Xenopus tropicalis: one gene and its partner. The main gene of each other region encodes a partner of the protein of the gene in region 2 in a complex. Links are inferred from orthologs where the notes say so. Each region holds a gene or a part of one and is shown on either strand. Other genes may lie near its edges.

Region 1 (4,536 bases), on a different chromosome or scaffold from region 2:
AATGTTAGGCAAGCGTTAGAAAGCGGCGCAAAAACTTTTCTGGCTTTGAAACCTTCAATGTATGATTTTGGAAGCCTTCCATAGGACTCAATGGCACTCTACAGATCCAACGTGGCCAAAAGATAGTCACGAAACCAAAGCTTGAATGAATTCCGAAATGGTCCTAGTCTTTGCAAAAAATACGACTTTTTCGAGAAAGTTAATGAAAACCACAAAAAAGTAGTGGAATTTTAACGAAATTATCGTGGACATTACAAAAAGTTCTATAATTCTCTAATAAATGGCCCCAGAGAGACAATTATCAGTAAATGATCAGCATTCAGGGGCGGGCCAAGCCGACCGGGCGCCCTAGGCAACTCGGTCGGCCAACTCCGCCCACCTCCCCCCCGAACGGCGCATGCGCGCCAAAGCACAGGAGGCGGTGCAGGGGGGGGGGGGCAGGGCGATTAGATCGGTCATTGCCTCCGCCGCTAATGACAAGCGGTGGAGGCAATGACAAAGTAGCACTAGGGGTAGGCAGGAGAGGCTCCTGCCTGGCGTCCCTCAATCGTTGCGCCCTAGGCAGCTGCCTCTTCTGCCTACCCCTAGTTCTGGCCCTGTCAGCATTGTCTATTTTAGTAGCTGCTACTAGTAGCCCTGTGTGTCTTCACCCTTATAGAAGGAGGAGCAAATTCTGGAAGCCCTGTTAATACATTGAGAGGGGGGAGCTGGGAGAGATGTTAAGGTAGAAGGTGGGTTTAGTTTCCCTATGACTCAGTGTAAAGAATAAAGGTAAGCACTTTGGAATACGTCATGCACATAGTCAAAGTTTCCAATATCATGCATGATCCTGGGCCCAGTTAAACACACCCTACCATGCAGATTTGAATGCAGTCTTTTAAATGATGGGCACACAACCTCTACCAAGTAAGAATGTTATTAATATTAGTATATTCAACAAGGCCTTTATGTTAAGAAAAGGGTTAACTATCTGTGGCTTGTACTGCCTTTCCCGAAAATTATAATTTTAACTTTGCTATCATTACATTTTGCTATCATTCCACTGTGATGCAAACATCCCCTGCTAATTCCCCTGCTAATATGCCCTATAACCCTACTCTCGGAAGATTAATATGATAATTGTAAAGATCAGGAAATAGACTTGAGCTAGAAGCGAATTAGGGCTAAGCAGCCTTCAGTGTTGCAGAACTTTACCATTACACTAACGCTGCTAGCTCTGCTGCCTGGGGAAAGCTGGGAGCTGTAGCTTTAAATTGACTGTAGTGCTAAAAGTTGTTGAAGTTATGCCATGTGACAGCTTTTACCCTTTAGTGGCTTTCTAACTTGACAGAGATAGTAATGAGTCTTACAAAGGTGGCTCGTTAAAGTAACCCCCAGTACATACTTTCTGCCGGTTTCTCCCATGCTTAGGACTGTTTCTTCCTCACTTGGGCCATGCGGACCAGAAGATGGCAGCAGCATCATTTCCTATGGTTTGTCAGCTAAAAGGACCCTGGGCTCTTGCTCTCCTCTTTCCTAGTTTGAGACCATCCTCCTCCTCCTCCTCCTCCTTCTCAGTCATGGGACAGGAAGCAGGGCTGGGCCTGATCAGGGCTTCCCTTCCAGCAAGCAGAGCTGAGGTGTATTAGAGAGATCTTCTGAGCCGCACAGCGTTGCGCACATCTGCCTCGCCATGTCGGTAAGTGATCTGTAAATGTCGTTTAGCAGCAGAGGATCAGCGCTGCCCACACTCTCACCTGCAAACATCTGGAATCTTATCCGTTAACAGAATACTTAGTGGCAATTTTTGCAGAAATGTTTCAGTTTATTTGTTCCTTCCATTTTTCTATGTGTTTGTTGCAAACGAAATGAAAGTCTTGCTATTTCTGTTTATTGTAACTACGCAGATTGAGTTGTAGCATTTAGGGGTTCTAGTGCTGTGGGTATAAGCATACATTGTAAGTGACTTAACTAGATGAGAGGTAATAAGGATGTAAATATTGGTTTTTAAATGTAAAGAAATCTAATGTGGGTGTATATTATGCACGGTTAGTCAATTGGTTCCCAAACTGAGGGGCCAGCACCCAGACTGAACTACTACTTAAGCTGGCCATACACGCAACAATAAAATCATACGAAACTGATTTTTACATTGTGTGTGGGCTCAGAGCTATCATCTCGATAATTTTCTTACCATGGCGAATATTTTGGTTGAATGACAATAAAATCTGCGCATGTATTGTGTATCTGACAATATCCTTGGGGGACCACAATGAAAGTCACTTTTGTACCATAGGTATCTGCCAACTATTTTGTGTTCCTTCAACATAAAAAATAATCTTCAGCACACCACTTACATACATGTTCTCAAAGGGTGCTTGACTTCCACGGGCGCTCCCAAGCCTTTTTTCCATGTATCTTTGCAAAGGGAAAGAAACACACCACCAGTGTGTCGGCAATGCCTTTAAATAATTTATTTGCAGAAATGAACAAACAGCACAAGCTTTCGGGGGTGACCCCGACTTTGTACCTGAAGAAGGGGTTTGTTAATTTCTGCAAATAAATGATTTAAAGGCATTGCCGACACAATGGTGTGCTTCTTCCCCTTTGCAAAGATATTTTGTGTTCCTAACATCCTCTGATTTGTTATATTTAGAACTTTATCCTTCAATTTCAGTCTGAATGTTAGATTTATATTGTTGCACTTAAATGTACGATATCGATATCTGAATGTTCTGACTATGTATGGCCAGCTATACTTCTGGAATCTGATCTATGGGGATGCCCAATTGGGGGGCTACTGCCCCAGCCCTATGTTTTATCAGGGAGAAGGCCAGGGCCCCTCCAGTTGTTGCCATAGTAATGAATACTCAACTTCACTATTGGCGATATTTGTGAACTTGCATTTTGCAAAGTAATAGCCTTTGTTATTGCATTGCTGATTTTAATTGTGCATAGTGCACTTTTAAGGTGTGCTTGAAGATAGCACTAACTATTGGAGGAAAAATAACATTTTTTAGTAAGAAGTTTCATTACATACTGGTATAAAACTAATAAAGTTATAAAATTCACAATCTTTCTTCAACTGGCAGCAGTGAATGCTGAACAGTTTCCATGTTCACAAATGCTATATTCAGTTCACAGAAAGCATAAAATGTGTGCAAGGCCATACATTTTCGCATTGTGAATAATTTTCCATTAACGACTTTTATTGCATTCCCCTGCAGATGTGCACAGAACATGTGGCGGAAATAGCGAAATTATGATCTCCCAGCTTGATGTCATTATAATAATTATTATTAACATGTAATTATAAAGCGCCAACATATTCCGCTGTACAATTAATAAATATGAGCAGGGCTAATTTGGTGTCCCTGCCCACCCTGAGGCAGGCCTTCCGATACTTCATCACCAGTGCATTGAGCCAAAATTCTGATTTTGCTGCCCCTGGTAACTGCTGAGGCAAGTTCTCAATTTACCTCATGGCAGCAGCGCCCCTGGATATGAGCCAAGTGGGGCCCTGACCCCACCCCCATGCAGTGATTGTCTCCCATTCTACGTCAGTGACTTACAGATTTCCACATCTGCATTTATATGGTCTGAGCATGGAGCCACAAACTTGCAATTCTGGTTGGTTGGCATTTGCTGAGTAATATAATTAAGGTACATAATATAGAGATTACCTAGATAGCAGGTTGCTTGTGGACTCTCAAGTGGTCCATGTGCTTACTACAGGTATAACTGATCAGGACAAGGATTTTGACAACTGCTATTTATTACCTGAAACAATTTTTCTGCCGTTGAGCAAATTACATTTGAATGCCACTGCTGCTCCAGACTTAGTGTTTACAGGTCAGTTTGCTGAAACCAGATCTACAGAGGCAGGCCAGTTCTGAATCAAGGTCTAGCATTGTTCTTTACATAGGCTGCACAAAGGTCATGTTTGCTTAGAGTATTAGAGTTAAAAAAAAAGAGAGAGTGTGTATGGAATAACGCAATGTACATAGTACAGTAGCAGAGGATGAAAAAATACCCACCTCCATCAAATGATTGTTCCTATTAGTTCCTAACTGAGTCAGTTTTACAGTAAAGGCCAGCAACTAGATAACTAAAGCCGGCCATACATGCACCGATATTATCGTGCGAAACCTCGTTTTGTTATGGTTAAAGGATTTTGATTGGGTGCCATTGAAGGCGTCCAAACAAAATTTATGCTCAGGGCTGAATCGGCAGAAGGAGGTAGAATTTCTTTTGTTTCTACATCCATATCTAACAATTCAGCCCTGAAAGTCAGATGAGGGTGGGAACAATCACGAAAGATCGAAATTGCTATGTGTATGGCCACCTTAAGACTTCTGATTAGTGGCAGAACATACATATACATGTAATGTGGCTATTGGCCAATCACATTTTCTACAATGACCAATCAGTATCTTTTAGACTATGGAAATCTTACCATTTTAGCGCAATGATGGGTATTCTCAGTATCAACCTTAATATATGTGCTATAATAAATAGAAAAAATAATTTATATTTTTTATAATAATTTTATATGTA
Region 2 (3,820 bases):
ATTCAGAGGCGCAGCAACCACGACTGCTGAGGCGCCAGTTATTCCCTGTAGTGCTGTGAGCGCAACATTAACATTGGGCCACTGTAGCTACATATCAGCCATGTACAGTCATACAGAATCACTGGATTGCCGAGTCCTTGGCTCCTGCAGTTTGGCCTTTACTGTGCTCTGCAGGATATCAGGCCTAGTCAGGAATGGGAGCAATATTAGCGCCCTGCCTGTGAGTGGCTCTGGTATACAGGAGGCATTGCTATCTGAACCTAGTAATAGCCTCAATAAAGGACATGACCGTGACATTTCTGCAGGCACAACTGATAGGTGTGCAGTGAATTTAATATTTCTTTTAATACCCTTATGGCCAACCTGAGGTTCATTTTATCAGGAAACCAATGCTGACATTTGATAGGCAGTGATTCCCAGCATGCTCTAGTTGCACACATCATGTGCTCAAGCCAAACACAGAGGATGATGGGAGTGGAAGTTCAGCAAAAGTTGGAAGGCATTGTGTTTTTGGTTCAGCTGACCATCTGTAATAGCCCAAGGATGCAGGCTGGGAACCACTGCCCTTTATTATCTCAGTCACACGGCAGGCGAGCAGACCTACCAAAATCAACAGTGCTACAGTCTATTAATCCCAAGGTCTGCAAGCCCAATGGTTTATGGACTGAAAGAATCAACAAAATAACCTCCTTCATTATTATTTCTTTTTCTATTTCAGCAAAGCGTGCATTTTCATTTTCATCCTCACAGTTTCCCACGTGGAGATGCTGCTGCAAGGTTAGTGTATGGCTGGCAGATACTGCAGACTTCATTCCATGGAAGAAATGATTGGAAAGATCTCTTCGGCCAATAAGTGCATAAGGTACATATGGCATACGCAATTCACGTGTTCTAGTAAGGAAGGGCTTGTCACAATCAAGGCTATTTGGGCTCAACTGGGGAACTTCCCAAATAAATAAGAAATCTGTGAATTAGGAACCAAGGCCACAAACAGAAAAGAACCTCACCCCGTTGCCCTGAATAAAAATTTTTGTTCAGTGAGGTCGGAGTCGCCCAATAAATCTCAATAGCAAAAGTGTGCAGTGCAGCAGCTGGAAGCAAAGGCTAATAGGATATTCTCTTTGGGGTGGGGGGAGGAATGGAATCAGAATGCTAATCAGAACATATAAGATCACTATACAGGCCTTTATCTCATATAAAAATAAAATACTCAAAGGCTAATTTATTTTACTGCCAGATGTCCAGTGCTATGAAATGGATGAATAATTATCCAATGGCAATAAGGCACAAATAACAGGTTTCTGCATCCCTGTCCGCCTACTCCTTGCCTGAAAGGTGAAAGGAACACTAGGTACCTTAGGTGCATGGTGTCCATTTTCTACAATAGGTTACAGGAGGCACCGGTTTAAGGTACTCAGTATCCCAAGGGAAACTTTTGCATCCCTCATAGGAATCTCATTAGTTGGACAATGGTTTGGGATCCTAGCTGCTGTTTGGAAAAACCTGCATAGAGGTTTCAGCACAGTGAAAGAGAAAGTTTCTTCAGCTGAAGGTTCCATCCGTCGTTCATAGGAACGTGTCCTCCTCACCCTTCAGTTCCCCCAGGAGCAGGGAATGTTTGTCTGGCTCACTCAGTGGGATGCTGTGCTGGGAATGTTTGTCAGACAAAAAGGAATTCAGAGACGCTCGGCTGTAGTTGACAATGCGATCCAGAAGGTCCAGCTTGGTGGAAGTTCTCCTGTTTTCCGTGAGTCCAATATGAACACTAATGTCGGAAAGTGACTTCTGTCTCATCTGGCCCTGGACCCGCTGCTCAAGTTTCTCACGACTCGGCTTACGGTACCTGCACAAAGGCAAACACAGTCGCTGCTTTTATCATTGAAAATGAGAAGCAAGAATTGTGTGTGGATAATATCACTTCATCTGCCAGATCAAAAAGCTATGGAGCAACCTGCTGGGTATATCGCTCCCTGACATAGTGCAACAGAACAAATTATGAAATTTATTTGAATGACTGCATCTAATGGGTATGGGTCCCAGGCAGAGTTCTGTGCAGCACTGCCATTTGGCAGAAAACAGCAGCAGTCAAAACACCCCTATGTACATTTGTCATTGGTATTGAAAGTAACAGACAGATGGGCATCTTTATTGCCAATGTTCTCCACCAGAGGGCAGCAGTAGCCAAGACATTACCAGGAATTACCGTTAAAGGAAATTTAAACTCACAAAACAAATGAATGTAAAATTGTCCACAGTGCTTAGCAGTGTAAAAAATGCATCAAAGGAACAAGAGTCACTTTCAAACAGTACGTTACTGTGCTAAGGACAAAGTCTAAGCAGTGCAACATTAATGGCACCCTATGGTACAGCATTTGCAAAACCACTCTGAAAGTCAGATACACAATCCAACACTATAGGCCTCATTAACAAAGCCAAAGGCAGCATGCAACATGTGAAACTCTATTTCAGAACGCTGATATCTGCCTCACGGTCTTAGTTAGTCAGCACTAGATCCAAGGGAGGTGGGTGTGGAGAGTCACATAGGCAGATAGTAATGACAGGGATTAGCTGCGTGTCCTGGAACAGCACAAAGGGGGCGCAAGTATTTCTAGAATGAGCACTGAGGGGTGAGCTCTTGCACCCTCCTAAGTGTTTGTGGAGGAAGTGTAAATTTACTGAAATGTACTGTTTACACAGAAGGCAAACATTCTGGTGTAAAATGTGGGAAAAGCACCCACTGAAATGCATTATAAGTTGGGAAAACTTAATATGCGAAAATGTAAAATTGAAAGTGAGTGTATTATCACATTATGGAAGGAAGCAGGAGTGAATGTGGGTCCCATACTTACAGTTTAAGCAACAAAGAAGAAAAGACAACAGAAACAGAGGAAGCAGCCATAGCAGCTGATCCCATCCATGGCTGCAAAATCAACCCTACTGGCATGAACACACCTGCAAAAATAGAACAGGATTTCATTTTGAGGATTTCTGATTAAAAATCAGCCCAATAAAATGGTGGACAAAACCCCTAGACAAATGCTGATGCCACCCAAGGCCAAGAATCAGCCCCTCCAATAGCATCAGCCTCCTACCTTCCCTGTGCCCAGAACCACTGTGTTGGTCTGAGATATTAGAAAGCAAGAGTTCACATTTCAAAGCTGAAATACCTGCACCCTGGGAAGCACAATGGTTCCAAGCACAAGGAAGGTCGGAGGCCTGCGGAAGGGCTGATTGTAAGCAAGCGTTTTTCCACAGGCATAGAATCAGCCAAATATTGGCCAAAAGGCGCAATATGATCATTGATGCCATAGAACTGGGATGATAAGTGGTCGGCTTTGCTTACAGTAGCTGTACAAATATAAACCGAACCCCCCATCTAATAATGCAGTTTCTGGGTACCTGCAGCTATTGGGATTCCAACAAGGTTGTAGATTAGAGCAAAGACAAAATTTATTCGGATTCTTTTCACAGTCTTGCGAGACAAATCAATGCTGGCCACCACATCTAGCAGATCATTCTGTAAGGAGAACACAAAAGGGATTATTCCAGGGCCAGGCACAAAGCGCTGTAAGGATCCCCCTTGCTAATAGGACCCGACAATTGGATGTGTATCTGATATTTAAATATCTAAGTAGTAAAAGCAAGCAATAAGCCAGCTATCACCTATTTGTATGAAGCATTTATTCTACCTACCTAATGAAATATACTGTTTTGAAAATAATATCAATAACTTTATAGAAATCTATAGGAAAGCATCAAGAGACACAGTGTAGCATTACAATGCTAGATAAAGGTAACCTTCATTTGCACTCAAAAAAGT

The links.
Region 1: the proteins of atp7a (region 2) and atox1 are in contact, whole or in part, in an NMR structure (PDB 2K1R), measured with the Homo sapiens proteins. The link is inferred for Xenopus tropicalis from reciprocal best matches to the Homo sapiens genes ATP7A and ATOX1. Residues at the interface, in NP_000043.4 of Homo sapiens: Cys19, Asn20, Ser21, Cys22, Trp24, Thr25, Gln29, Asp67, Asp68, Met69, Gly70, Phe71, Asp72; in NP_004036.1 of Homo sapiens: Thr11, Cys12, Gly13, Gly14, Cys15, Ala18, Arg21, Val22, Lys25, Lys57, Thr58, Gly59, Lys60.

Annotation. Positions count from the first base shown.
Region 1 is NC_030679.2:16,843,292-16,847,827, forward strand, and holds the start of atox1 (copper transport protein ATOX1), read left to right. Parts: upstream 1-1,589; 5' UTR 1,590-1,672; coding exon 1,673-1,678; intron 1,679-4,536. Other genes in the region: g3bp1 (ras GTPase-activating protein-binding protein 1), read right to left, coding at 1,385-1,464. UniProt on the Homo sapiens protein: Binds and deliver cytosolic copper to the copper ATPase proteins. May be important in cellular antioxidant defense.
Region 2 is NC_030684.2:45,789,237-45,793,056, reverse strand, and holds part of atp7a (copper-transporting ATPase 1), read right to left. Parts: intron 3,518-3,820; coding exon 3,400-3,517; intron 2,953-3,399; coding exon 2,850-2,952; intron 1,844-2,849; coding exon 1,567-1,843; 3' UTR 1-1,566. UniProt on the Homo sapiens protein: ATP-driven copper (Cu(+)) ion pump that plays an important role in intracellular copper ion homeostasis.